Linked DNA regions of Struthio camelus. The protein of the gene in region 3 interacts with the protein of the main gene of each other region in a pairwise test. Links are inferred from orthologs where the notes say so. Each region holds a gene or a part of one and is shown on either strand. Other genes may lie near its edges.

Evidence for each region.
Region 1: the proteins of BACH2 (region 3) and BATF3 interact in binary tests that used the Homo sapiens proteins (3 or more experiments, as listed by UniProt). The link is inferred for Struthio camelus from reciprocal best matches to the Homo sapiens genes BACH2 and BATF3.
Region 2: the proteins of BACH2 (region 3) and MAFG interact in binary tests that used the Homo sapiens proteins (3 or more experiments, as listed by UniProt). The link is inferred for Struthio camelus from reciprocal best matches to the Homo sapiens genes BACH2 and MAFG.

Annotation. Positions count from the first base shown.
Region 1 is NC_090944.1:114,272,878-114,282,751, forward strand, and holds the start of BATF3 (basic leucine zipper transcriptional factor ATF-like 3), read right to left. Parts: upstream 4,394-9,874; 5' UTR 4,312-4,393; coding exon 4,243-4,311; intron 3,534-4,242; coding exon 3,429-3,533; intron 593-3,428; coding exon 407-592; 3' UTR 1-406. UniProt on the Homo sapiens protein: AP-1 family transcription factor that controls the differentiation of CD8(+) thymic conventional dendritic cells in the immune system.
Region 2 is NC_090960.1:368,042-378,417, reverse strand, and holds the start of MAFG (transcription factor MafG), read right to left. Parts: upstream 4,120-10,376; 5' UTR 3,941-4,119; intron 3,224-3,940; exon of another isoform or gene 3,166-3,223; intron 3,129-3,165; exon of another isoform or gene 2,056-3,128; intron 1-2,055. Other genes in the region: PYCR1 (pyrroline-5-carboxylate reductase 1, mitochondrial), read right to left, coding at 8,136-8,295, 8,422-8,585, 8,996-9,088, 9,612-9,833. UniProt on the Homo sapiens protein: Since they lack a putative transactivation domain, the small Mafs behave as transcriptional repressors when they dimerize among themselves.
Region 3 is NC_090944.1:50,518,143-50,528,322, forward strand, and holds the start of BACH2 (transcription regulator protein BACH2), read right to left. Parts: upstream 4,262-10,180; 5' UTR 4,186-4,261; coding exon 4,165-4,185; intron 3,470-4,164; exon of another isoform or gene 3,404-3,469; intron 3,175-3,403; exon of another isoform or gene 3,160-3,174; coding exon of another isoform or gene 3,148-3,159; intron 1-3,147. UniProt on the Homo sapiens protein: Transcriptional regulator that acts as a repressor or activator. Binds to Maf recognition elements (MARE). Plays an important role in coordinating transcription activation and repression by MAFK.

The DNA.
Region 1 (9,874 bases), about 64 Mb from region 3:
CTGTTTAGAGAAAAAACAGCAGCCAGAATACGATCTCTAAGGATGACAGTTGACAAAGGGTTACTAGCGGTGGATGTGTGGGAGAAAGGCATCCCAGCCTGCGGCCGGTGCTCTTCTGCGCCTGCATTCCATGCCACGATGGCGGGCTGCAGCCTACTTCGACACTGCTGAACGCAAAACCACGGCTCATAGATTCTACCAAAGAAATTACAGTTCAGGCTGTCTTTTTTCCATACTGATGTTTTCCTGAGATTCAGAAGACTATAGCATTTCGACATGGAGAAGACCTGTGTGGTCAAGTCCAGCCCTCTTTAAGGAAAGACCTGCGCTGTAAGTAGGCAGTTCTTCAAATCTCCCTTGTTAATGGGTGCCTTTGCCCTCACTGCAAGGTGATCAAGGAGAGCTCTCATCTTGGCAGGCAGCTGGTGAGTGCATCAGGCCTTGGTATGGTCACAAAGTTCACGGAGCAGTGCAATAGTGGACAGATCTTTTCATGATCCTTCAACACTTCACTTAAGTGTTTCATTTCATCTGTTAGCTTTCCAATTTCTCTCTTCAGGGAGGTATTTTCTTGCTCAAGAGATTCATATTCCTGGAAAGAGAAAAAAAAGGAGACTCCTCATAGTCAAAACATTCCCTTCAGTGCTTCCACCTTGCACATATTCATGTCACCCTAGAAAAAGTGTTGTTTCTGCTTATTACAGATGTGCAAAATGCTCAGGAAAGAGCCTTGAGTAAACCTGGGTGCTTTGAACAGGGCGAGTGATTTACGATCCGTGCCTGACGGAGCTGCGACTCCTCCTGCGGCCCCGAAGACGTGGGGGTGCCCCAGCCTGGGCGGGCACTCAGCAGCCCAGGGCTGGGAGCCCGGGTGGCCATGCCCTGGGGTGGCCAGAGCAGCCTCTGCCAGCCCTGGCCGCTTCTGCAGGCAGAGCGGTGAAAATGAAAGCACCAAGTGCCGGTAGGTGCCGGGGAAACCCCAGTGCTCAGCATTGCTGGTGAGGAAAAGGCAGCCCCCACCCCAGGTAGCGCGGGAAAGCAGCAGCTTAGGCGGGCGCTGGCTGAGAAGCGCACCTAGCACAAGGTGCCCTGGCACCAGCTGCTCTCCTCCACCCCTGCCGTGGCTTGTAGCCACCTGCTTGAATGCCTGGGAAGCAAAGAGCAGGCTGCGGAGGTGAGCGTTGAGCCAGCTTGCCCCCGAACCGGCTTTGTCTCCAGAAATCCTGACCGCTGCCTCGATTATCCATGGCTGGGGCTGCTTTTGTGCCGAGGCCTCTCTGGCAATGAATAAGCTGCTCTTAACTGCAGAGGAGTTTTCAGATGCTCTGCAGCAGACATCTGTGACGGAGGCGAGAATCGCATTTCACATTTCTGTGATAACAGCAAGTTGCAAGCGTCCCTGCTGCCAAGACTGCTCGTCCCAAAGAGAAGAGAGCTAAAGGTTCAGGTCCAGCCCACAGAAAACCTGCAGGTGTCCGCACCTCGCTGCCGGCCTAGGCTCAGCGCTCACCCACTCAGTCTCACCTCCCTGGGAAAGCTTCAGAGCAAACATCAAAGCCTGCACATGCTTTAAAAGACCTGCTTACCAGAAAACAGGGAAAGTCTCTCACACAGGGCTCCTCCAGCTTTCTTTAAGACTGCCTCTGCTTCCCTTCCCTTCTGTAAGGCACCCTGCCTTTCCGTAGCGGTGTCAGTTTAAATCGGTTCCAAAACTGTGGTGTGAGAAAGAAATACCCGGCTGAAAAGGCTTCTTTGGAACTCCAAAAGCCCCAAGCGCGAGAGCTCAGCTACTTTGTGCACTGGTGTCCTCTCATAGTAACAGTGGGTGTTTCCAATACGCATGCAAGTATCTGATTCTTCCAGAAACTTGTAACGCTTCTCAATATATCACGATGCGGGGTAGGCTTCTTGTGTGCCCTGTGCAAAGGCTGGAGAACAGGAATTGCCTTTCTCTGTGTGTGGATGCGGTCCCACGCAACAGGGCTTTTGTTGTAGCCGGGGCTCTCAGGGCTACCTCGGGGTAAATGCTAGTGCTGCTGCTACGGCTGCTTCCTGCTGTGGAAGGATCTGCCTACAGGAGGCAGTCTCAGAAGTTCTGGTTTTGTTCTTTTCCCAAATCTCCTCTGAGTCAGTGCCTGAGAAAGCCAGTTGCCAGGGTACTTCTGGAAAGGGGCAACCTCTGGCTTTCGTGGAATCATTGACACATGTCTCATCTCCAGCCTTTCTGATGCTCCCTCTGCACTGTTACAGAGGATCTTACTCACGCTGCCAATCTGTATTAGCAGGCAGGCAGGTTTTCCCAAGGTGCGAGGAGATTTTGTTGAATAAGTATCCGGTCTTGGTACAGCAGTTTTGTACTCTCTTCCCTGAAGATGGGACAGATTAACTGGAGAGTACTGCTTACTTTAGGTCCACGGGGTTTCAGGCAACAAGAGGTAAGCAGAGTCAGGGATGCTCAGCTTTGCTGGAGTTTGGCTACATTCATGCTTAGGAGGATCACGTATGTTTTATTCTGTGCTTGCAAGCGGTGGTAGGTGGTGAAAGGGTGTGAGGAAGGCAAAGGGATCCTTCCACCTTGTGGGAGAGAAGAGGCTGTGCTGAAAGTCCAGAGCTGCACGACTGGCACAGCAGCAGCCGTAGCAGCAGCACTAGCATTTACCCCGAGGTAGCCCTGAGAGCCCCGGCTACAACAAAAGCCCTGTTGCGTGGGACCGCATCCACACACAGAGAAAGGCAATTCCTGTTCTCCAGCCTTTGCACAGGGCACACAAGAAGCCTACCCCGCATCGTGATATATTGAGAAGCGTTACAAGTTTCTGGAAGAATCAGATACTTGCATGCGTATTGGAAACACCCACTGTTACTATGAGAGGACACCAGTGCACAAAGTAGCTGAGCTCTCGCGCTTGGGGCTTTTGGAGTTCCAAAGAAGCCTTTTCAGCCGGGTATTTCTTTCTCACACCACAGTTTTGGAACCGATTTAAACTGACACCGCTACGGAAAGGCATGGTGCCTCCTCCCCTGTGAGGTGTTACGCGTTCACGCTCTGACAGAGCATACCCACGATGCTTAACACTAACCCAGAAAACATGGCTCAGCTTTAGCCCAGAGGAGTCCTGCGTCCAGTTCAGCGGGCGGCTGTGGGAACGCTTGCGATGGCGCAAGAGGGACGGCAAGACAAGGGCAAGGCCACGTCCCTCCATGGCAGTGCCACCGGCGGCAGAGCGGCACCGTTACTTGTCCAACCTGAACACCCTGTGGCAGAGACTTCTCGACCAGTGATACGCCTGTCTCTGCTTCACACCCACACCTCTTTGAGCCAGATTAGCATGACGACAGGCCCACGCCTGCCCGAGAAGTTCCATTTATCGTAAAGTCCCGCACATGGCACCCAAGCTGTGCCTGCAAAACATCAAGTACCCATTCACCTCGTGAAGTTTATCCGCTTTCTGAGTTTGCTTCTTCCGGCTCCTCTGGGCAGCAACTCGATTTTTTTCTCTCCTCCTTACCTTCCTGTCATCTTCTTCATGACTCTGGAAGACATAAGCCACCGTGCTGGTTTTTACGGTGCACGCGGAGACTCTTGAGGTCAGGCAAATAACTGATGTCAGGAACAAGCGGGTCCTCCCAACTTCACAGCACAGCCAGCTCTTACACAACGCCGGCCACCCACGGATCGCAGGGTGCCCCGCAAGGGCGATGCGCCCCCTGTCCCCCTTGCACAGGTGGCAACCGAGGCGCGGGGATGCTGGCGGCGCAGCCGGGGCCCCTCCGCGGGGGCGCTCCGGCAGAGGACCGAAACTCGCTCCCCTGCACGGGCAGCGCCTTGCACCTGCTTCGCCCCCGGGCGGGCGCAGGGAGCCGAGCCGGGCCCGCTCCCCGCTGCGCCCCCGGCTGTCTCCCGGCAGAGCAAAGGCCGCTCGCGGAGGGGCAGCAAACTGCCCAGCGCGCAGCCCGCTCTCCTACCTGCCGCAGCCCCCGCGGGTCCCCACGGCGGCTCCGAGCACCCCCCCGCCGGCAGCAGCTCCCCGCGCCGCCTCCCGCCCCGACGCGGCTCCGCCGCCGCCGAGCGGGCAGCTGCGCGGGAGCCCCCGGCGGCGGCGCCTCCTCGGCCGCGGCTGCCCCCTCTCCGGGCGGCTTCGGCCGCGGCGCCCGAGGGCGCCCCGGCGGGGCGGCCGGCCGTGACTCAGCCCCATGTGCCCGCCGCGGCGGCGGCGCTCCGCGCCGGCCCCCCTGCCCTACCTGCTGGGCGCCCTCGGCCGAGGCGCTCCGCTGCAGCACGCTGCCCGCCGCCGGGACGGCGCACGACATCCCGGGAGGTGCCGAGCCGCCCCGGGCCGCTCAGCGCCGCCGGGCTCCCCCGGCCCCGCGGAGAGGCGGGGAGGGGAGGGCCGGGCCGGGCCGGGCCGGGCCGGGCCGGGCAGGGCAGGGCAGGGCACGCTCCGCCCCGGGCCGCCCCGGCACCTGGCGCCCGCACGCCGCTCCGCTTGCCCGGCCGCGGGGGTGGAGCCGCCGCCGCCGCCCCGGGAGCCCCGCCGCCGCCTGCATGGAAATCACGTGGCGCCCGCGGCTGCCCCGGGCCGGCCGGGCCTGAGCCCCCTGCGCCGGGCAGCGCCGCCGGCGAGGGGGCCTCGGGTGCCCTGAGCAGCCCCGGCTGGGCAGCCCGTGTCCCCCCGCGCTGCCGGGCAGGGGCTGCCCGAACCCCCCCCCCCCCCGGAGAGCCCCGGCCCGGGGGCTTGCTGGGCTCGGCGCCCCTCCGGGCAGCCCGACTCTTGCTTTCGCCTTTAAAAATAACCGCCGAAGAGTTTCCCTTCTCCCCAGCTTTCCTCCCCGCGGCCGGGCAGGGAGGCCAGCGCTGCTGCCGCCGCCGGGCCGGTCCCGCCGCCCCCTCCCCTGGCGCCCCGGCGGGAGCCGGCGCCGGCAGACGCGCCCGTCCCGTCCCGTCCCGTCCCGTCCCGTCGCGTCGCGGCCGCGGGCGGGGGCGGGGGCACCGCCGCCCGCCGATAGCGGCAGCGGCTGCGGAGGAGCCCCGCGGAGAAGCGGCGGCCGCCGGCAGAGCCCGACTCACCCCGGCGCGCTCAGGGCCGCGGCTGTGCTGATACAGCGACATGGGCTTCCAAAAGCGGCGTAGACTTCAGGGAGAGGACAGCAAGACAAGCCGATATTCCTCGGCGTAAGGACAAGCTATCGGTGTTGGAATAAAACCGTTTTCACTTTCGCTACTGGTCCTGTTCCCTTAAATAATAAGGAAATGCCGCACGCTTCTTGTAAAGGCAAAGCAAGACAGCGCCTGCTGAACACACAGCTTCACATACAGCTCTCCCTGTTCGGTAGCGTTTCAACAACAGTATGCTTCTTTGATCCTTCCAAACCTTCCAACTTTATCCTTCCTTCCAAGTAATGTTTCTTTTATCCTTCCAAACACTTTTCCTACACTTCAATTGAACTGCATCTTCTCCCTCAGCTCTGAAGCTCTGAATGCATGTTTGCAGATAGATGCGTAGCAACATCCTTTCGGCGCTGTGGATATATTTGTATACCTAACCTGCGCTCCTCAATTCTCATGCAAAAGCACGTCCACACGAGGGAAAGTGCCCCAAAACTGCAGTGCAGTCAGTCACAAAGCCCCAGGTATCTTAAATTAATAAGTTGGATACTTCCCTATTTTTCTGCTTTCCCCAGAAGTTTGAGTCATACAACTTAGATAAACATCAGGTTACAAAGTTTGCCAACTGCGTTAATATAGACTATTCTTTTAGGAAGATCTGGCCAACAGTTCGTGCTGAACGTGAGAACCACACTGCCTGGGAGTCCGAGAGTCAAAGTAAAGTCTCTGCTCTACCGCAGGTTTCCTGGTTGACTCTGGGACCATCAGCTAGATCAGTATTACTGAAAGACCTGAATGGGACTTCCCCACCGGGAAGCCCTTCTCCCCAGCTGTTCTGCCTCGCAGCAGCTTGAGTCTCCATTTTCCAGGCCACCTACAGCTTCGCTTTGGCACTTTCTCAGAGCTTCTCAACCCCCAAGGACTGAGTGCCTATGAGCCTTCCCCACCCACATGACCCCTGGACCCACAAACCACACGGGCTCCTTCGGCTTTCTTGCCAAAGTGTTGCAACCCAGTCTGTGTCCTCAGACTGTGCTGGGTCAACCCAGCACCTCACAGGATGTTCCCAGCCCCGGTTTCTTTAAAAGCAGTCCTGCAGCTCCTTCTCCCTTTCCGCTTCATACAACATACAGACGCAAGGGCTCACCAAGGAAGCAGAGGGTACGGGTTCAGTGCCGCTGCCCAGCTGAAGGGCAGCAAACCAGCATCTCCTGGAGGTTAGCCGCACCCATTAGGCAGTGAGCAATTATAGGGCGAATTGCTCTCAACCTCTCCTTTTGAAACAGTCCAATTTTGCATTAAACCACTAATCACAGAGTTAAAGGAATAATAAATGCGGGCATGGGTGGACAATTAGCTGGGACAGTTGCTTAGGAAGAGAGCGCTAGGTTCCTTGTCTTCTTTATAGCTTAAGCACATCTGGAGTGAAGCACAGGACTAGAACTCAGTATCTGCATAAGCTCAGAGAACAGGCTGCAAAGAAAACCTATGAACTGAGGAAAAAAAAGCCCCCTTCTCGCAGACGGACTTTGATCTGATTCCACATGAAGCTTTCATGCTTTTTCAGAAGCAATACTGCTATTAACAGCAACTGCACAACTAAATGATCTAACTGAACCACGTCCTGACCAGTTTACGAAGGACTTGTTAGTGCTGTGTAGCTACCCTACTGAGTAACTCCCGGCAACAGCCAAACCCTTCCAAATACTGTAGCGTGAGGAGGTTTGCAGGATCCCACAAATACAGGACAAGCCACAGAAAAGTCCCCCTGAGCCAGAGTGTGGTCCGCTCTTGTTCAAAGTGACAAAGGAAATGAAAAGTCAAAATTTGCTTATGGGAACAAGTTTCTGCTTAGTATTAAAGTTATCTCTGGTACATCTGAAGAAATGCCTACACAGTAATTCCAAGTAACACAGCAGTAAGGGCAGAGCATTTCTATACAGGAGAGAAAAAACAAGTCCAGAAAGCACACTAGTCAGCTGAGTTTACATTTTATAATGGCAGTTTATCAGTGATTTTTGTCTGCAATGAAGCAACCTACACACATTTAGACTAGAGTTGCTGAATGCAGTTTAACATAATACGGCTTTTCTGAAGAACGTCCCATATCAGAACTGGGTTTCAGAACACCACGTGCCCAAACTTTCAAACTGCCGTTGGTGTCCATGGGAAGATTTCTGGAACAGGAGATCCCCTGCATGCTGCGTGCAATAACCTCTGTTCAGAAAACCACACGCAGTAAAAGAGTGTGCGCATACCGCTCCGATTTGTAAATTTGTTATGGGTAGGGACGGCTCACCACTCTAGTGACAAGCACAGCGCTGACAGTACTTACCAGCAAACAGGCAGACGTTCCATCTCACCTAAAGAAAGCTAAGAAATTCAAAACCTGCTTGCAAACGTTCCCAAGCATCCATCACTATTGAGTTGTCTTACAAAAGTCAAAGGCTATATTAAGAAAAACTACCAGACATTTCTTGATGCAACACCAATTCGCCTCAAGTTAAAAATAAGAAGTTTGAACGTTGTGACATTTCAGTAGAAGCCCGATTAGACGCTTGTCTTGCACAACGTCGCAGATTTCTATGAAAAGTTAACTGAAGGACACAAGGCTGTCGGAATGGGAAAATGTGAAATATTTTATATTTTATTTCTGACAGTGGGAAAAATATCTCCCAGACATTGCTTGTTGCAAGTATCTCTTGATGTAGAAATTTTTAACAAATATTTGAAAAGTAGCTGAATACTCAGCCAGTCAGCCACAAGAAGGGTTGAGCTTAGCTCATCACCCGACTTTCATTTAAAGAGAGGGCCTCTGATCCCTTCCATTGCCCCTTGGCCAAAAGTGGCCCCCCCCGAGATTTGTAAACTCCTAGTTTAAATGCTGCACTTGCGATCTTCATCGATTTGTTTTCTTTATCTTTATGCCATGTATTTGGCCAATGTTTCCAGATGTTTTTTTTTTCCATCCAGCTGTGATTGAAATGAGGGACACAGAACAAGGCACAACTGCCCTAGCTCAGGCTACCAGGCATCTGTTCTCACTTCTTTCAAATCCCATGCAGCCTGACTGTCCCGCAGTCTCCTAGCTAAGTGTTAATATGCATTGTAGGATAAATTTATTAATTCACTTATAGGTCTTAAATCCACAGTGTTCTCCCTTATTTCTTAAGACATTTGTCTCATATTGGCCTTTTCAGATGGAACCTCTTCAAAGAAACATGCCTATTCCTTATAAATCCTAGCCCTTTTTTGGAACCTGCCTATCATTATTCAGAGAGAATGTCAGGTTATCTTTCTATTAACACAGAAAATGCTCAAATACCACGATGATAGACATATAAAATCGTGCAGTGCTCAGCTCAGTATAGAAACATTCAAATTGAAGAATATATGCGGATCTTAACGAAGAAAGTGATGGTTATGATTTTCAATCCAGCAAGGAGCATTCATACTCAAAGAAGCTAGAACAGCAATCCACTGTGTGAAAAACAGTCCCGGTCCCACGTTCCACAGCTCTGCAGTTCCAGCCCCTCACACATCCTGTCCTCTCTTACATTGGAGCCTTTGTAGCCCTGAGATTAATAACAGTTGCGAGTTCAAAGGCACTAAAAGGAACTACTTCAGTTACTCAAGCCTGAATTTAACACAGATGTCTTCTGAAGTGCTAGTACACTAGCTGTTCAGTTACCACCTATGCCAGGATTAGAACAGACAATATGATCTGAAACTTTGATCTTTCTTAATTGATTTAATTTGCTTTGTATAAAAACATAAGTTCATATATACAAAAGCGATCTGAAACAAATATTTACATGTGATTAAATATACAAAATCTCAGTACAGATGCTCAGCTTTTCAAATCTAATGATAGTAAAATTTGTCACACATTTTCTTGAAAAGTTTCAGTCTCGTAAATATTAAGTTGGACCACCTTCTTACTTCAGTACATTTCATTAAAAAAGCTTCTCAAAAAACCTCAAATTGCTGTCTGAGTAAACACACATTAGACATGAGTATATACTGCAAGCATATGCAATCATAAGCTAGAAAAAGTTATGAACGGTTAAGGCATGCTGCTGAATTTAGTACTACTGTGCAATTGTTTAGGTACAAATGTGTAAAAAAAAAAAAGGGTAGGATAGCTCAACTTAATACTATTTACTGTTACTCTACACTGATTTTAAAAGTTTAGTCAAATATCACAAATGCATACATGAACCAAGTCAATATCCTGTAATGCATATTGTCCAGGAAACCCCCAAGACGGCATACTTGGATTACATGAAACGAAAATATCTGATGAGATGTGTATGGCCCACCCTTGTTCAGAATAGCATATATGTATGTATGTAAATATATACAATTATAAAAACTCCAAGTTTAAACAAACATGACTATAAATAAGTCCAGCTGACCTAAATTCAGGAAAGGTCTAATAGCAGGGACCAATTTTACACTTACATGTGGATTTTCTAAAACTGTAACAGCACACTAAAATAGTGTTTTTAATATGCTCCAGCGTGAAATTCTTTTTTATTCACTTACTAAAGAAAATAGTCACCCAAATGAGTATAGATGAAGGTGTATTCTGAGAACTAGATACTCTCCAACCTCTTTAGACACATGCTTAATGTAAATGAGCAGTCAGTGGGCTACAAAAAGACTGCCCACATACATGAAGCATGTGCAGAACTCTTTGAAGCATCAGGACCCACGCTGAGTCCTGCAATAAAAGAGCAAGAAGTGAGAGTTAATCAGTAAATA
Region 2 (10,376 bases), on a different chromosome or scaffold from region 3:
CACATTGGCAGTCTCGGGGCCTCCTGCTCCCAGCCTCATCCCTTGTAATTCTCAAGCACAGCAAGCCAGCTGGTCACTGCAACACCCCCTCTCTGTTAAACACCCAAGCACAATCTGGGATTTGGGAACTCCCCAAGAGAAAAGTCCTGCCAGATCCTAGACATTCCCAGGGACCCAAACAGGCAGGGTTAAGAACACGTGACCCAGGGCAAGCTGCACGGGGGAAGCCTTTGCCTCCACAACACGCCCCACGGAGCATCCTACAGGACAGGAGACGCCCCTCCTGCACTCGCTCCCATCCAAACTTCTCCTGCTTCCCAAGAACGCCAGCACGCTCGGGGTAAGGTTGAAGCTCTGCACCCAACCGTTTCGGGGGGAACGGAAGGACAACCTGATCCTGCAGCACAAGCAAGCATTAGGCACGCTGGATTCCCATCGCAAATTCGGGTGATACCTCAGCAGCCCTCACCTCTCCCAGTCAGATCTTTTCTATGAGAAAGCCCCTCTCAGTCTCCGGCAATGCCAGGACACAGAATCACTTTGTCCCCTCCCTTATCTTCAGAGCCAAGCTTTACTGCATAAGAAAACAAAGATTAAGGGAGGCCAAAAGTAGAGGAGAGCAGACCCCTTCACTGCCAGGGAAGACAGCACTTCAGAACTGATAGGAGAGCAATTCCCAGGTCTGTTTTTAGAGTGAATCACACCCAAGCCCACGCTTCTGTCCCTAGATACCTCCTCCCCTCAGGCTTTAGGTCAAGATGTTACTATATTGCCCAATTAATTGAATCCTCTCAAATATTATTCAACAGACATCACTGCAACTCAAACAACCAGGAACTAACTGCAAGCTTCCTTAGGCAATGCGAGGATTCTTGTACACATCAGTCCACAAACACCTTCATACTTTCAGTCTCCTCAGTGCCCAACGGACAACAAAAACGCATTCTCCCACATAGCCGCTATTTTGTTTGCTAAACGTAAGAGGCACTGGCACAGGGCTATTGCCAAGAACCACATGCACAAATCCGCAAATGCAAATTTATGCTCTTTAGCAGCTGTGGCTCAGGCTCTCTGCAATGCATCTACCACTGTCCATTAGAGGTGAAAGGGGTTAGTGCTCTCCAAGACACCTAGTAGACAGGTAAAATTCAGATGCTCCCAAAGCTTGGAGCCTGCCGGGAGGCAGGCTATTTATACCCAGAGGACAATGTTCCTTCCAATGAGATGCCTGCTACAACCTGACAGTGCTGGTGTAAAAAGGTCACTTTGTCAGCCAGGGAAGCTAGCTGCAAGGAAGCAGGCTAACACAGGACGGGCAGCACATACGCAATTGCTTCATAAAAATCAATTTTTCCCTTTTGCTCATACCTCTCTCCTCTGCTCCTCCTTGGCAAACAACATGGCTGCTGAGAAGAGGGGCAGAAGAAAGGGATCAACTGGGGAGACCAATAACGCCACCCCAGCAGCACCTCCCTGCAGCGTCCTCTGCTGAGCATAAGGAGCAGAGGCCAGGCACGGTCAGTGGGAACGGAGAAGTTTGTTTGCCTTGTGGCCTTAACCAGCACTCAGCTGCCTGGCAAGCACTCAAACTTCCTTCATCACAGCGGAGCTGAAAACAAACAACCAAGGCCACGGGCGCTGCAGCAGCAGACCGGCCCCGGGGAAGGGAACTCCGCCGGGCAGGCTGCGGAGATTCAGCAGCGGTGCTCGCACAGCCTGGACCCACAAAGGCCCTGTGGCACTGTCACTGCTGTTAAAGCTACAGGAACCCACAGAAGAAAATCCCAAGGAACAGGCTAACATGGGGGAAGGAAACTGCATGTTCAAATTTAGGGCCAAACCGGCTCAGCAAAACCCTTTACCGGGGAATCCAGAGGTCTATGCAACGCATCTCAGGAGCCATCTAGAAACACTTCTCCTATCCACATCATACAGCTACAACCTGATAAAGCAAATTTTTTACATGACAAAAGCCTGTGATTGGGTTGGCTGAACAAACGAGGCTGCCACAAAGAGGCCTTCTAACGAAGCCCACTGCACCCTCCCGACCCTCACCCAAAGTGCTCGCAGATCCGACCGCTGCTGTCAGGAGAGTCAGGGCAAGCGGGAACCAAGAGGAATCAGTAGCTGGGAGACATCCAATGCACTGCAAGAAGCCAGTCAGGATGGAGGCAGCAGACTGATCCGCAGACAGGAGAAGAGACTGGTCCCAGTAATTTAACCTTTTTTTGTATTTTAAGAGTCAGGCATTTCCAGCTAGAGGAATCCAACTTTTTCAGGCCTCGTTCCCATCCAACACGCCTCCCAGAACAGCCTCAAAGCTGTAACAAGACCCTGGCTGACAGCATCTGGGTGATTTCACCTCTCCTCGCCTCCAGTCCCCTTTCCAAAGGGGTCAGGGATGGAGACAAACCAACACACTAGTCCGTCGGTAGCACGGGAAGAACGACCTAGACACAAGTTGCTGGCTATTTTCTGGCCTTGCTCAAAGGATCAGAGACAGAACCATTTGGCAGCTCGCACAGAGGACACCCAGAGAACTGGCGTCAAGACAGAGACCAAGCTGGGTCTAACTCTCCAGACTGCTGATTCTCAGCTTTCGATAGCTTCCTGAAGAAGGATCACACTGAGAAGTGCCAAATGCAACGACTGCAATGAAGAAAACGCAGCCTCAACACATTTCCCCAGAGCTGGAAAGGCCTGAACTCAGCACAAGCACGGCCAATTCTCTCCTCAGCCCAGAGGCAGCACGACAGAGCTGACAGCCGCGCGCATGATTCGACGCAGGCCCCATTCTCCACATTCCTGATTCACAGAGCGGTGCCATGAGCCCAGTGTAAACACGGTGACGTCACTCGTTCCAGCACAGGCCAGCCCGGAGAGGGAGGCCCATCTATCGGGATGCGGAGGCAGGGGAAGGCGCCGGGCGCTACGAGACGCTCCGCGGCACGCCGCAGGAAAGTTCTCTCTGCCCGCGCGGGTTTTGAGTTAGTTGACACAATTGTCCCAGGAATCCAAGCAGATCAGTTGTTTTCCCTCGCTACACGCACAGTCTGCCTCCCGTGCATCCCCGCTCTTCCCTTGGGAGTCCGAGGTGAGCTCGCATCCAGAACGCTTCCACCGTAATTATTCAGTCAAGGAATCTGCCCGCGCACCCCGTTTTACCTGCGCTTGCGGGGACGACGGGAGCAGCCTGCTCTCAGAGACCCCCTCCCCGGTCCCAGCGGTGTCCTCCCCCCAGCATGCAGCTGTATATTGAAACATCGCTAATTCTGGGCGGTCAGAGAGGCAAGAGCCTCCCCCTAAACACACCAAACCGGGGTCCTGCCCTCCTAGAGCAGGGAGAAACGGGGCACGAAGCAAAAACCCTCCGCGCCGGCCAGGTCCGGCAGCCTGCCGGGCGCCTTGGCCCGAGCGAGCGGGAGGACGCGCTGCGCCCCGGCCCCGGCTCCAGCCCCGGCTCCAGCCCCGGCTCCAGCCCCCGGCCCCGGCCAAGGCCTCGCAGCCGAGGCTGCCCCGGCCCCCGGGGCTCGGTCGCACCGAGCGGAGCTGCGGCGCCGCCGGGGAGGGCGCCCGCAGCCGGGAGGAGCCGGGGCAGCGGCCGGGGGGCGCCGACACCCCCGGGCGCCGGGGCGGGGCGGGGGCCGCCCTCGCTCGGGGCGGTGCCGGGCCGGTCCCGGTCCCGGGGCGGCTCCCGGGCCCGTCGGCCCCGCACCTGTTGCGCGGCGCCGCGGCGGGGGCCGGGCGGGCCGCGAGCCCGGGGCGGCGGCGGCCCCGGCACCCCCCATCGCCCCCCATCGCGAGGCGGCGGCGGCCCCGCCCCCGCCCGGTCCGGCCCCGGGGACCGGCCCGCCGCCCCGCCCCGCCCCGCCGCGCCCCGCCCGGGGCCGGGCCGCTCCCGCTGCGGGGCCGGGGCTGGGGCCGCGCCCGCCGCGCTCACCTCCTCGCGGTGCCGCCGGGGCCGGGCCGGGCCGGGACCGGGCGCTGGGAGGGACCGGGACGCCGCCAGCCGCCGCCGCCGCCGCTGCTCACGGACGCGTCACGTGATGTTTGGGTCACGTGGCTCCATTCATGAAGCGGCCGGTGCAGCCGCCCCGAGCCTTAAGGGGGACGCGCATTACTGTCGGAGGCGACAGCGATAAGGAAGGGGGCGGGGCGTGCCGCGCCTTAAAGGGGAGGGGAGGGGAGGGGGGGCGGCCGGCTGGCTCCGGGCCCGGTAGCGCCGCCGCCCCCGAGCCGCGGGGACGGGCCCGGCCCGGCCGCCGCCGCCGCCGCCTCCTCCGGGAGCCAGAGCAGCGCTGCAGCCGCCTGCCCGGATAAACCAACCCGGAGCGGGGCCTGGCGCGGCCGGGCACCGCCCGGCTCCTGCGGCGCCGCCGCCCCGCTCCCGGCCCGCTCCCCTGGGCCACCGCTGCAATCACACACGCGAAGCCCTCCGCAGGGGCTGGCACAGACCCCACGTCCAGCGTTTTAACTTTGCCCCAGTGCGGAGGGGAGCATCGCCCCTGCTCCTGCTCAGCCAGCCGCTCCCGCGCTTCCACGCTCCTTGCTCCGTCTCAGCAGCTCATCTTTGCTGCATCTACAGTTTCTCAGAGCTGCTGAAACTGCAGGGAGCAGCAAGGTCTCCCCTGAAAATGCTGACTTAAGGAAGAGGGCTTTGCAGCTGCTCTCCGAGGCATTAGTGACAATGCTGAAGCAAGTTTCTGCTGAAAAAGTGTACGAGCAGGGCTGGCTCTCGGGCTGTGAAATGGTGCTCTCCCCCCCATCATGCCTGGCTTGACCCATGTGTCCCCATCTATCCTGCTATAACTCTGTGCTCTGTGTCCATAACACAGCAATATTTGTACCTATCCTCTTTGCTGCTGCACGACAAGCAAAGCAGGCCTCTGCCCACCAGAGCACACCAGATGAGCACAGCGGAGGAAGGACATCAGTGAAACCAGGCACACATGAATTAAGACATCATGGAGAAAGCATGATCCTTATAAGGAAAAAATCTGGGCCCTGGACATTCAACAGCAGCTCCACTGTCCTCTGCCATGCATGCAGGGGACACACAAACTAGAGCCGCACAGAGTCATTTTATATGCTTTGATGGGCTTTTTCTCTTCTGTGCTGACCAGCTAAGTTACAGGTCTGCAAGCATCGAGCAAGCTCAGCTCTAGTTCTTGCACAGCAATGCCTCTTCTAGGGCACACTGGGGCAGCCCATATATCCCTCTGGAGGGGCACAAGCTCATTGTGCTACCTTTTATCGTGTTCCACATTATCAGCTGTGTGGAAACACTTTGTGCAATGCCCCATTCACTTTTTAATCAGACAGTATTTCAACCATCTGACTTACAGCTTGGCAGATCTGTGCAGGGTGTTCACAGCTTTTGAGCAGGGAAGGAGAGGAACATGTGGCACCAACTTGCTTCCCATGGACTCTTGTCTGCAGTAGCAGAACTGCTAGGAAGCCTACAGTTTCAGGACGGTATGACAGAAATTAACACTCAAAAATCCTCAGCCTGATTTCAGCCAGAAGGCTTTTTTCCTTCAATTTTCTTTAAACCTCTGAATACTGGTAGCATAGGGCCCTAAAATAACCCTTATGTTGTTGCTCAGGAACTGTAAATGACAAGGAGAAACTGATACCTTCCCAGTCCCACGGCCAAACGAGCCTCGAAGACAGGAGAGCAGCACAGCCCAAGCACACTCCCTGGGAACAGCGAGGATCTGCTGGCACCAGCCACAACCAAGAGACCCACCCAGTCCAAAGAGCTGGGACTAGCCACAGGCCTCAGTCAGAGAAGCAGTTTATTATATAAAGAGGGAAGAGGAGTCACCATCTCCAAGGCCTAAAGGGTCATACCCTGCTACCAGCCGAAAGCCTAACACTGAAGAAGCTTTTCTATTATTAGCACCTTTGGCAGCCTCTGCACTGTTACCTAAATGCTTTTCCTGTATCACCAAGATACCCAGGATTCCTCAGGAGAGAAAATAAGCCCAGCTTAAATGTCTTCCTTTTACCAGCACTACCCCAGTGTATCCCAAGGTAGAATATAGTATGACATTTATCCACCCAAACCCCCTCCATCCCCTCTAGTCTGCTGCTTCCACTGCAGCCAGCTAAAAGCGATAGGGGCAGTTTGAATGCTTTGTACTGTTTTCTGGCTCAGGATAGCACTCAGGGTCTGAGAGAAGAGTAGAGGCAAGGAAGCCACCCAAGGGTATTTACTATAAAAAAGTCACATAAAGCAGCAGATGAAACCTTGTATTTGCTGCTGTTCTTGAGATGGCTCCCAAGACCGTGCCTGATTAACCATCTTTCTACATGATGGGCTGTAATCCCCCCAGTTGCTGAGAAGGGTCAAGCAGGGCTTCCCTCTCAGCCTGCTGCTACCCCAAGCCTGGCCAGATTTCTCCCCTCAGAAGTCCTGGAGTTCAATGGGCACCAGAAAACACTGCTTCCAGACCCCATTTTTCTCTGCTGTTTCTTGCTCACACATTTGAGTTACGGTGGAGAGAAATTCTCCAGACGGGAACATCAAGGGTTTTCCTCCTCTGCAAGGGTACAGTCATCTGGACACGCTTCACCAAACAGCTCCTTGTTGCTGCACAGGCACTAGGCACTCACGAGTACTCCCTTAACCTCTTTTGTGTCAGGCAAGGACTGAACCATTCTCTTCCTGGATCTCATGCAAGATAAGCTATGTGAGAAAGAACAACATTTGAGCCACAAGCCAGACCAGAGGATTCCGTGTTTCCCTTCAGTCTTGTATACTAAAGGACTAGGAATGCAACTGCATGAAGCATCCCCAACTAGTTTCTAGGTGTTTCCTCTTTTAGCCATTAGCAGCGTGATGTCGTCAAAAGAACAGGAAGAAAAAATAATAATCAGAAATGGGCTAGAAAATGCCAAAGAAACCTAACTGTGCCAACACAAAGGGATACTGAGGGCTGCTGTGCCAGAATTCATCATCCCAGCCCAGGGCACTATTGTCTGGAAGGGAGAACCAGCCCACTGCAGCATATCTAAACTGCAGGAGCTGAAGCACAGTAGCCCCTGGCAGCGAGTGCCAACACCACAACCCAAGAAGACGACACGGCCCAATTCAAGGAAAGGAGTCGAGGAGAGTTCTGCTGCCACGCGGTAACCCAGCACCTGGGTACCAAACCCAACCAGACAAAGCCCACTTGAGCCTAAGGGAGCAGCGCAGTAGAGGGCTTTCTCTGGGGGAGGGTATCCCTGACCTCCGCTCTGCACTTCTCCTGGGGCAGCAAGGAGAGCATCAGGAAGCACAGCGACCACTGAAGCATACCCATGGGTGTATGGGAGCAGATTCTGCTTGTGAGGAGTTCACAGGTGCCAGAAACAGAGGGAAGAGGGAGCACGTGCTACCCCTCCACCTGCCCAAACACCCAAGAAGGCTAGGCAGCAAAGGAAGGACAGTGAGAGTAGGTCATTGTTCCCAAACTACGTGCAGCAGGGAGAAGGAGTAGCCAGTGAAGAGAGATGCGGTGCGGTTCAAGCACTTGGGGTGCTTGAAGGCCAGGGGTTCACATCATTGGGCTGTCAAATCAAGGCAGATGGGAAACAGGGCAGAGGCACTTTGATCCCTTTTGAGAGGTACATTAGAGCCTAGCCTCTAATGGAGCGCAGAGCACTGCATTTCTGCAGTAGTATCTGTTCTAGCTAATATAGACAGTGACAGAAGACAAGCTCTGACAGCACATGCTGAGGCAAGAGGGATCCAGCCTGGTTCAAACCACTGAGACCAAAAGGCATTCTGAAACCTCTTAGAAATACCAGTAGAAACCACATCTGCATGGGACACAATAAACACTGCCTGAGCTCTGGGGGTATCCAGGGCCTCTGGCCAAATGATGCCCTTGATAAAGCTCTGGTGATGCTATCACACCCCTGCCCAACAGAGAACAGCAACGCTAGGGGCAGTTTTCACCAATCCCGCTAGAGGTGATTGATAGATAGATAGATCCTCTCCTACAGCCTCATGCTGCCCCACAGCTGCTGCAAGCTGAGAGCCAGGTATGGGGAACACCAACATCCACAGCGAGAGGTTTTTCCTTAAACAAAGAAGAAAGGACATATAGGAGACTGACTATCAGCACAGCCAGATTACGGTAGCCTGGTCAGTTCTTCTTACTGCTGGGGCTCTTACTGGTGAACAGACTGACTTTGCTGGCAGATGCCACAGACAGAGAAGGAGATTCCAGCTTGACCTTATCTAACAAAGTCTTCTTTATGGCTGCTGGAGAGATCTTCTCCTGGTCTGCCAAATGCTGCAGCTCCCTGTGAAGCAGCGGGGAGAAAGAGAGAGTTAGATACAGCAAAAGGGAGAGACCCACGAGGTGGGTTTGTAGCCTCCTCAGGAAGCTACAAGTTTTGTAGCCTCCTCAGGACTTCCTTGGTGCCCACCTTGTCCGGATGCATGAAGCTTCCACGGCATTGATGAGGAGTGAGCGAAAGCCGCCACTCTCCAGAAAGTGCAGGGCGTGGATGGTGGCTCCCCCAGGTGAGCAGACATTGTCCTTCAGCTGACCCGGATGCTGCTCAGACTCCAACAGCATTTTGGCAGCACCCTGTAGTGAGGAAGAGAAAACAGCTGCCAAAAGCTCTGACTGAGGAAACTTACTGCCAAATACTCCTGTTCTCCACTGCATAGAGCAACACCTAAATACTCACAGTGGGCAAAACCGGTCTCCTGCCTCACAGCCATTAGCAGGCTGCCAGCTCTTCCGAGCTGAAAAAGCCTGCAGGGAAGTCATGGTTCTCCTGGCCCAGGCTCCCACAACGCCATCAGCACCAGCAGGTATCTGTGAACACTGCCTACATTCCCTCACCAGGGACTTGTGTCCATTCCAATGAAACACATTTTTTAAGTGGATTTAGTACAAGGACTGAGATAATTTTAAACAATTACGTACAGAACACTCTGCACTGAACAGGCACAGGCACAGATTCAGTGTGGTTTGGAAGAGGAGCTACTGACCAGCAAGGCCTGGGCTCCAAGCCGAACAGCCAGCCTGCGAGGAAGTCCCATTTTCACTCCTCCATCTGCCAGAGCATCCAGGGCAGTGAACGCCTGAGATCACAGAGAGAGAAAAATGGCTGAAAGTTAGTCTCTGCTCCAGGGCTAATGTTCTTAGGAAAGAGAGACGCCAAGGCTCTAGGAGCACAGTATAACTCCTATTGCTTAGGAGAACTTGAAAAAAAGTCACCCTCCAGTCAACCCAGTTCTCAGGTGAGACTGCTCCCCTTTACTGCAGGGGTGCCATGCCAGGCTTCCCTCCCACCTGTTCCAGCTGAGCTGGGGGGAACGAGAGAAATTGAGTTTCTGGGTCATACTAACAACAGGCCCAGGTTTTGCAACACGGACACGTGGACGCTGCACACTGGCTATGGACTTCAGCCTCAAGTGACTGTTAACGGACTCTCATTGTTGACCCAAGCTGTTATAAACTGGGTGCCTGGATTATGTGTCCCGTTGCAAATGTAAGTGACTAGAAAAAACAAAAAATCACAAGCTGAAGTTGCACAGACTTTCACTGCATGCAAAGCCCACTTCTCTCCCCATGATTGTCGTAAGTTGAGGAAGCAGCACATACATATGCAGGGCCGCTGCCACTGAGCCCCGTTACAGCATCTATCAGATCCTCTTCCACTTCAGTGCAGAAGCCTACACTGGCCATCAGTTGTTCCAAGAGCTTCCCATCCTCCACATCTGCATGAGTCCCAGTGGCATAGACTGTAGCACCTTCCCGGACAATCACAGGGGTGTTGGTCATGCACCTGATCACTTTTGGTGTGGGGCAGAAGGTAGAGAGTTTCTTAGGGTAGAAAATAATTGGAGATAGAAAGAAAGGAGGAAGAGACAAAAAAAAGAGCTTTAACACATATTTGGCATACCAAACAGACTGCTTAGGAAGGAACTCCCAAGGGACAAGGGCAATGCAAGCAGAGGGAACAGGGAGACTCCTCTACCCCAGCTTCCCAACTTTGAGCCAAAGCGGACAAATTTTAAACGTGACGCCTGCAGGAGCACCACCAAACGGAGAGCTGGGCAGAGCTGCTACTGGGAGCGATACCTGCAACACCTAGCTCCCACCTGACTCACAACTCTCCACATACGGCTCCCGCAGACACTTAGCACAAAGTCTACAGGAATTCAGGTGAGATGACCCACCTCTGTTGAGAGAGGGAAGATCCTACAGCATTTCACATAGTAAAAGAATTGGTAAAAAGACTATTTTAGCTTATTGTGATGAGGACAGGGAAAGGTGGCCCAAGGAAGTCAGCTGGCTGCAGCATAGATTTAGTCTTGCTGGGAAACACAAGTAACGACCCCAGAAACAGACATTGCGTCAACTCCT
Region 3 (10,180 bases):
GCAAACTTCCCAGAAGAAGTGCGCTTCAGTTTGGCCATATTACCCAGCAAACGTTCCCACACCTTGAAGCAGTATTTACAGGTGAAAAAACCTACCCTGATGACTGCTCTTTTGTTTGTGCTGCATGTCTATCATCCTACCTTTTGTGAATGCTGCGAATCAGAAGTTACAAGCTCCTAAGAGTTTTGGAGAGGAGAAATCAAGCATGCTTCCAAACCACTATTTACAGCATGCATATTCAGTGATGGTTTTCATGCGTAGGCAAGTGGAAAAAGATGTTTTTAAGCAGTACAAAGCCTGCTGAAGTGTTATTAGAAGCCCCAAGGCAGGTGGGGCTTTTCATATGCTGCAGAAATGAAACATGTCGTCTTCGGGGAGAAGCTGCTGTTATCTTAAGAGGCCTGTCAAGAAGGGGCAGTTTGGGAGAACTGCGGGAGCTGAACTGCCTCACCTACAAGGAAGCTATGAAACGACAGGAGCTAGAAGGCGTTGTATGCATGTAAGGTCAGAGACAGAAAAGCAGGTAAGCCCAAACAGCAGCTCTCACCAACCTCTGAGGTACTGCCCCTGAGAGGACAGATGCAACAGGTGACTACAGAGAAAAGAGTGAGAAATAACTCTTCCACTCAGCATCATCGCTGCGGTTGCAGGAAAACAGGTGGAATTAGCAGTGGGTTTTACCTGAGAAAGGGTGGATGAAGAGCAAAATAGCTGGAGGTATGCACCTGTGCTGAAATGGATGAGGTCTTTGGACTTTTGCTGCACCATCACCATGACGTAACGCTCCTAGTGAGCCATACCACAAGCCTTGCCATGCTGTCTGAAGTGCCTTCAAACGGGATCAGAGAGAACAACGTTCGTGTCCCACCATCTGGTGTGGCTCATCCCAATCCAGCTGGAGGCATAGAGCCCCAGATCAGGCTTCCCAGCTGGCAATGCATCACCTCCAAGCAGCGCTAATGAGAATGGGGGGTAGCAACCCACCCCTCCGTACACACCTCTGCTAAAATCATCCCATAACCAAATCCTCAGCCAAATGAAGAAATGGATCACTGCCTGAGGTACATGTGACTAGATTTTTACCCAAGTCTGGAGGAGTCCCAGTTCCTACCTGAGTACTGGGGGCTGTGCATGCTCAATCCATGCTGCAGGACGGTATCTGCTCTGAACAACTTCTGGAAAAATACTGTTGCGTCATCAATACATCTGTAATCCAACCAAAAACTTAAAAAGCAGCTGAGGAGCTTTGCATGGTAAACATAGAAAAACACTGATTTCCAAGCCTGCAGCCAGTTGTTCTATAATATCTTCTGCTTTGTGCTGACAACCTTTTTTCCCTCCAATCATTCAGGCACAATGCCTTCAGGTCTGTCTAAGTAATGCAATTTACTGGAGTGGAATTCCCTTGATACCTTCTGCAGCACTCAGTGACAGTATCATTTATACTCGACACTGTCATGCCATGACACTGATACATTGGCTTTCATCCCTCATTCACTGCAGAGTGTGCAATTTCACCTTCCATTGTGCCCTTCTGCAGACTGCGCGTACAAATTTACTCCATTCATTCCTAATTACAAACCTCTGCTGAAATACTCTCATTAGATTTGTATTTCTCACTCCAAATGTCAATCTTATTTGAAAATTCCAATTTTCCGGAAGATTCATCCATTAGCAATAACCTCCAAAGCATTCCTTAACTGAGTGCATTAGAAGCGAAACTGGCAGAGCAGAGATGCACTTAAAATACACCATTGTAGTAAATCTCCATTGCTAATGTTTTTGTATTATTCGAATAATGCAATAATGAGCCCACGACTGGCCATTTCTGCTCCTCCAGCACATAAACGGCATAGGCTAACAATTAACTGCTATGTCAGGATCCGATGGCATTGTAAGGCTGCGCTGAGTTTCTAAGCATTCCCCATTCCCGGTGAGCGCGTGGGGAGGGCATCGTGGGCTGAACATCATCCGCTACCTCCCCAGCTCCTGCTTTTCCCTAGGAGCTCCCGCACATCGCAGGGTGCCACAATAGCCGAGCTGGCCGGTCAAAGGCAGCCTTTATGTGCTGGAAGCCGCTTCTCCTTGATTTTAGCTGGGCATGCCCGAAACTAAGAGCCGTACAAAGAGTTTACGACAACTGTAAAAACGTCTGACTGCAGACTGCGTGCTGCAGGAAAGGCAAGTTAAAAACCAAGCTCAGGGTTTCCCAAGGGAGCAGACAGACAGTCCGCTCTGCAATCCAACAGGTGAACTAGAGCTCTACAGCTGCAAACCTCAATCACATTGCTTCGGTCTCTTATACAAATCCTAATCTGGTGCCTACGTTTCACTTCGAACAGCGTACAGAAAACACAGACATACGCTGTATACGCAGCAGCTGTTTAAGTGCTTAAGAACAATCAAAAAGAGATCCATCTACCTCTTAAAGAAAGGGTGAACACTTCACAAATGTTATCACCATATAAGGAAAAAATTTAAGACGACTGCAGCGTTTATCGATAGTTGTACAACGTGCCCTGTGCGCCACCTCTAAAAATAGCCTGTGTGGTGATACCCCCGGAAAAGAAAATACTGTCTCATCCAATTGGAAAGTGTAGAAACAGTGAAAGGAGCATGAGTGTGCTTGCCACATGACACACACTCTCCTGGTGTTATCTTCAAAGCAATCACGTTTGAACTCATCTGCGTCAGGCGCAGCAGTAGAAAGTAGGGGGAAAAAAATCTACATCTGTATCAAAAAGGGAAAATTCCACAGGAAAAAAATGTCTACACTGCCTGTCAGCATCTGGTCACCTAAAGGATTGAGACGTGCAGATAATTATAACAGATGTAAGGCAATTCCCTGCAGAAACCACCACCATGGAAGCTAATTATTTCTGAAGTTTAGCCCATTCCCACCTGAAATATTTAAAACCTTGATTACTGCATTAGCTCTCTTGCCTTTTATACTTTTTATCAGCAGCTGGTCTCAGGCATGTGCACAGATGTTAAAACAGAAACACGCATTTAAGCAAAAAGGCATAAAGGAGGCGGTAAGAGTAAGGTGGTAGTAACGGCGCTCACAGTGTTCTCCTCCTAAGAAGAGGGAGAGGTTTGCATTAAGGAAATTTAATGGCATTTCTTATTGCATAATAAAAAACTCACCACAGCCAGCATCAATATTCCCACGGAACAACTGCATGTGCCTCTACGTGCCTCCCATATACCACATCCTCCGCGCCGCATGGAGTTATTCAGAATGAAAACCTATCGTCTTATTTAGCCGCGTGCTCCAGTCAAACAAACGAACCCTGCTGCCACACTACAACGCCTGGAAAAACCTGGAAGGGTCACAGAGTGACAAGAAGGCCGTGCAGTACAAGCTGACGCACAACGGAAAACAAGTTTTCAGCGTCTGTACCTTCGGTTCTGCAGCTCTTGAAGAGATGCCTTCTCTCTACTCATCCATTACAAGAATTGCATCAAATCGAGAAGCTTGAAATGCACAGCCACGCTCGTTCTCTGGAAATGCCACAACTACTTAATGAGTGAAGCAGGGAGAGCACCAAACCTTAGACCATACAGTTATGAATTTCCCTGCATATGCTGACAACATCTTCTCTTTAATGTTTCTCTTGGCCACAGGAGACATACCAATTAATGTGGTCATAACCGTTTTAGCAGCTCAATATATTTCAACTAATTTAGCAGATTCCTAACCGGTGTGACTACCTGGAAAAGCCACCAAGACAGCATATTTCAAGACTGGCACCCTAAAAACCAAACTGAAAAGGTTTTGCATGCCAAAAATTAACACTGAGAATTTTGTTTCTTGATGCTCAGCAGATTTGTACAGATTTCCTCCCCGCTCCTTTTTTTTTTTTTTTTTTGGCCAAAAGATTAAGTTCTGGATCAACAGTTCAAGTTACATAAGGGCGATTTTGGAGGGCTGGTTTTAAAGAACTTTGAGTCCTCTCTAAAGCCGCTTCTTCCAGATACCAGAACAACTCCGTTTCCAAATTTCTTTCATCACCACTTCTTACTTATGGACTAAGCTTAACTCCTTTTTTTTTCTTAGATAAGAAAAAGCTGATAAATTAACATAGCTAGACAACACTGCAAGTAAACTCTGTCTTTCATCTCAACACAGACACATTTACAAGTATTCAGCACAGGACTTACCAGATAGAGATGAAGCTGCATGTAAGCCAGTCATCAGAGCTAACAGAACGATTATGCTTGCTCTACAAATTGTGAAGCATTTGAATCTTATTTTTAGTTGTACACAAAGGGCAATAAATGGAAAATCTTATTGTAACCACCGCTTTTTTTTGGCCACCCACACTTCCAACACCTACAGCGCAAGTATATAAATGCAAAAAACCCAGAACTCATGGCTCATGTGAACAAGGGATGCAAACTAGCTAAATGCTGTTACTTTTTTCCAATTTGTACTTGGAGTTTCATCAGATCCTGTTAAGCATCAACGACACAGATATTCATACACGCGGCATATCTACTGGGTCAGGTATCATGTTGGATTTTCACGCATTTAATTAATTATTTGCTCTCAGTTATCCGGTGGACTTCTTCTCTAAGCTGGCTAACCACTGATGAATTTTCAAATGATGAAACGGTGGAGATGCATCTCCCTAACTCTCGGTTTCTCCCCCTGCTCCCTAAATTAGTGATGTATAAGGAGTTAATGCTTCACTTACCTGTGAGAAATTATGCTGAATACTCTACCCAGAAACTGGCAATTAAAAAAAAAAATCCCTTTACACTCATAATAGTAGAAGAACTTGAAACAAATTGCTGTCAAGGATGATTTCATTATGTTTAAATCCACTTTACCTCAACTTGCTTTGCAAATTACTTTTTAATTTTAAACATAAAACTCCCGCACCTACTACAACGCTAGTTTATCTATGTCTCCCGTGCCTGATTCTTTCTGTTTACACCAAGCACTCTGCAAAGCAACACAAGTATGAACCTAATTACCATCTGAAACGCTGCAGAAAGTGAACCCAATTAACTGATGAAAAGAGAAATAAAGAAACATGCCTGTCTTAAGAGCAGACTAAAGAAAAGTACAGGTGAAGCCACATCTGGGGATGGGGGGGGGAAAGGAGAGTTAACAATCTGCCGTCATTAATTATCTTGCCGCCTCTGAAAACGCAAGTATTATAGAGGGTAAAGCATCCATTACAACACTCCCTCTTCTGAACTCTTCAGAAATCATAACAGGAAACACGTGCCGTAAGCTTGCAATTAAAATTTAACAAAATAATTCAGACCAAGTGTCAGCTCCAGAAAAACGTGCTTTTACCTGCACTCGCTCACTAATCGCCAGCTAGACAGCGCGGCCCATCCTCTCCCAGCAGCCAACCCGCAGCCCGAGGCAGCGCCAGCTGCTCCGAAGGCACGGCACTTTACGCAGGACGCCTGAAATCAGACACAACGCTTCTCTGGCGATGATTTAGGTCGCAGGAGTGAACGTGTGATGTATGCTGTAAAGGTGCAGGTATTACGAAAAAAATGGGTCATACACCACTGAGCTAACAACCACACCACCCCCAAAGCTGGTACTAAATGACTGTGCAGAGCTCTGCCAGAAGGAAAGGATAGATTTAAACAGCAGTGAAAACAAAACTGATGCGGTGAGATGGATTTTACTTTTCACTGGTTTGGGTTAGAGAGAAAGTTAGATTACCCTGTCACCATCGCTCGGTATTTTCTTAATAAATGCGAACTGCCAGCAGGTAAGCTCTTCTGTGGGAAACTTCAGCCTCGCCAAGGTGCTGTCCCCCTCCACCTACGGGGAAACGCTTGTTATCTCATTCCCTATGGTAAGAGGAAGTGTTACCAGCCCCGGGCGGTGGGCTGTGACTCAGTCGCTCGGGCTGACACACACACGCAGGCTGTCACCTGCAACAGCAAAAATAAAATCCTCGCCACAACATCCCAGTCACGTGGAAAGCACGGAGTAAATAGATCAATAATACCTCACACCTACAGAGCGCTTCACACCTTTGAAGTGATAAACAAACATTTGATTAATGGCAGGAAGGGAAGAGGTGTCAGAATAATGCCGTTTTGTATGTTGTAGCGTATTAGAACAGACAACACCGTCCTCCTCAGACCTAACAACTAAATACAGCACAGAAATTCCAATTATTTGAGTGCGGGGGACAAAATTAGAGGGAAGGATCTGCTCCGTGCAGCCAGAGTGCTGTCTGTTCGTGTCACGAAGCCCTTGCAACCAGCCTCTCCTGGTGGCAGGAAGAGCCGTCGCTGCCCATCTGCGGGCAGAGACGCCTTGGCCGCGGTTAGAAACTATTGCTTAGAAACCCTCAGACAGGGATGTCTGCTCACTGCATACACGTGTGCGCGCACACAATAATCGTGCATGAGGTTACACCTAACGTTTTCCAGACTCTACTGAATATATTTGTTCTAAAAATATACATAATGCGTGTGCATACATATACACGTATGTGTACGTATAAATACAGTTTTCCAATCGACAGATAATGCTGCAGCAAATACTTATCAAAAGCAGCGTTCAGGCCCCCAAGCTTTGGGTTAGCCCTGCCTTGGGTATGGAGACACGGGCAGCGCTGGGGAGCACCTGATTACAGAGAGAGATTGCCACAGTGACGGCGGCAGCAATCAGTGGTCCTATGTACTCTCAGCGGCGGGCAGCAGAAGCAACCCAATTAATTAGCAGCGAAGAAAATTTGCTTTAGAGCATAGGAAAAATCTTCCTGGCTATTTTAAGATCGAGGCCCTGGCTGCCGTGGGAGGTTATGGACCCCCCCCCCCAACCCCACCATGGGAGATTTTAAGCTGAACGTGTTAGTGATGGTACATTGGGTGCACAACCCTACTCAGAGCTGGTGGGCAGAGCAGTGTGCCTTCTCCAGCCTACTGCTAGCTCAATGATATGCCATGTCAGTACCATAACACGGGCAAAAAACCCCTTTTCTATCCTAAAAATAACGCTTTCCACTGACTTGTGTCACACCTTGGACTTTACCACCAACGCTCAGAAAGGCCACTAGCAGGTTCCCAATCTCCAAGCAAGGAAACGTACCAGAGAAATCATGACGTCCATCAGGTAGCATCGCTGTGGCTACCAATGTGACATGGAAATCACCTAAATGCTACAGTGATATATGCCAATATGAAGCTCTTAAAAAGACAGAGGGCAAAACTCTGCACAAAAAGAAGTTTCTCATCCATAGGAAAGCATTTCTGGACAGGTGGCAGCCCTTTGCTAGGACTATGGCCCCATTTAAATAAAATACTTGATGTCCCGTAGGAATACCTCACTCGCACGACCAAGATACCAGCAGTGTTTGTACCCAGAACCGAGCAACTGCCTCCCCTTCCTATCTTCACTGCATTCCTGCCAAATACTGGTGATAAGTCAGATGCGTGCACCTCTCGGAAAGCAAGCCTGAAATTTCGCAGGACAAGCAGTTCTGCAGTTAACGCACAGAAAACACAGAAAGCACCACATGAGAATGGGACTTTTTTTTTTTTTTAATTGAGATTTTGTGGCAGATGTGGCCACATCTCAAATTAAAATCCAGTGCTGTCTGCTCAGCAGCATAAAAACACCCGTCTCCTTAGCTATGACCATGGCACTTGGGAGCGGTTGGACTGGATTTGGTAAGAAGAGACCCAAGTGTTTGGTAAGTAGATGTTCAAAGGGATGGGACTTGACCTTCAGAGATCTGGTTTCCTCATTAATCCAATCAAGTTTCCTGACCTTTGGGTGCAGATTTATAAAAAGACACATTTTTTTCCCAGTCTGTGGTAGTAGGCGGATGACAGACATCTAATCATCAAAATCTGCATCTTAAAATTTTACATTATTTACATCTGCCTACAGACGGTAGCAGGACAGAGTTAAAGAAATCTTACAAAAAGAAATTGTGAAGAACCCATACCTAGAGAATATTGATGTCGTGTGCAGAGGCTTTCTGAGTTCAAGTTTTGGGGGCTTTTTGGAAGAGAGCACTTACTTAAAGGCTCTTGCTGAATTCTCCACACAGTCTGTGCACAAGCAGCACAAATTAAGACAATTTACTGTCCTCAGAATGCCCTTGATTGGTGCGTTATTTTTGCCGCTTTTAAAGGAAAAGGAACAGCGGCGAGACAAAGCCAAAAACGGGAACACAGCGCTGCAACTGCAGCTCGGAGCGCGGTCCAGCTCCCCCGTGCTGCCGGCAGGGCAGCTGCCGGGCCCTGTCCCGGTTTTTGCCCGGGGACACAGCGATAGCAGCAGCGTCTGGTCAAAGCCCCATCTGTATCATGTTATTAGTGATCGCTCAGGACAACAAACTACGAGCTGTTCAGCTTCTCCCTAATTCCTACGCTCCCTCGTTACAGCCCCAGTCGAAGCTCCCCTGCGATTACTCCCAGGGGACCCGGATAAAGGCTTTTTATCTCGGCGTGTGAACAGGGTTTAGCAATCTGCTCTATCAGAACAAGGGAGAAGCCTTCGGCTCTGAATTAGAGCATCATCAGTGCATGCTATTTTTTATGGCGATCACATCAACCAGCACGCTCGCAGCATTATAAAATGTAAATAATAATGAAACAAAAGGGGGAAAGGTACGCTTGCACGCTAAATACGCCGCACCTCGGGAAAAGCCAGAACGATACGACAGTTTTAGCTCGGTCAGCCTCGCACAACTGCTCTCTCCAACTGGGCTAATCAGTCCGGGAGAACTGGGTTCCTCCTCCTGGAATCGCTTGCAGGCTGATGCTTGCAAGTGGAGTTGCTTATTAAAAAGCCAGACAGCAGGCTCGTGAGCGACACCGGGAAAATTAAGTCAGCAACTGCAGGCCTGCCCGTGCAGCCAATGCCACTGGCACAGATGTGGGGGCCGAGCTGGTGCCCCCGCCAGCAACCCACTGCCCTGCAAGGCGACACATGCATTTTCCTGGAGTTAGGGCGCATGCCATGTTTTAAAAGTTTGGCATGATCCCGAGCGCACAACTGACAGAAACAAAGCAAACAAACAAGGAAAGCACCTATTTTACAACAGCTTTTTCATCCTTGCACTGTTTTTTCAAGTTAATTCGGCGGTCAAATACGATTTTACTGTTGCCAACAGAGACTTCTGATTATCCACAGTACAAGCAGGAGAATAAAACATCCTATACACACTTCTGCCCATGGGCTTCAGCGGTGGACAGGGAACGAGAGAAGGGTTTTTTTCCATTTATGTCCACTCAGCTTCTGGCTGCTCTTTCAAGTCCGCTATGAAGAATGCCATTTGTAAAGTTAGTTCCTCTAGCAGGGATTTTGAGAGTGAATTTGCAAGGTGGCCAATCACAAGCATTGCAAAAATCCTGAGAAAAGTCCACAAAAATTGTGAGTAAGGCTTCAAAATGACAAGGGAATTGTGTTAAGACGAATAAGTGCTGCGTTGCTTTCTTTTGGCTTGCTTGCTTCTGAGCTGTTACATCTCATATTTTCACATTGTCTTCCCCTAAGACCAGCGCTAGAGACACACTTTAAATGACACCCACAATTCTCATGTAGCCAGATGATTCCTCCCATGGGGATTTTTATTAACAACGACACCACATATTGCAAGGCCCGTAATAAAATGGCAAGACGCTCCCTTTTTCAGAAAACAGAACCAAACCAACACCTTGTTTTACCAAGGCCGGGTCGACAACGAATTCTCTACCAATCCTTTCTCCATTGCCTACCATTTCACTAGTATTTTTGCCAATACCCTTTACCTCAGGAAAAAAAAAGAAATCTCCTGTCTTTAAAAACTGAGTTCCCACGTGCTTTAAAAAACCCTGTGTTTCTTTCACAATAGACCAGATCTCTCTTTGTTTTCAGGCCTACTTTTAATGTCACAAGCAAATCAAACAGGTTATATACATCATATGCAGGTTTATCTTTAACATAAATTCCCCACTTCCATAATACTTCAATACTTTTTTTTTTTTTTGGAAGTAATATTACAATTCCTAATATAGACCCGGTGTTAGTAAGCATTCAAGGCAAACTGACCAGAACGAGCGCTGTGGTTGGCTTCACTGTCCTGGCCTGATTTGTCATTAAACTGCATAATATGAATGTATTACTCCAGTGAAAAGAGAAGGGCAGGATGCCAGCCTTCATGATCAACATGTCAGTGCTTACTTCAGGCCAAAAAAAAAA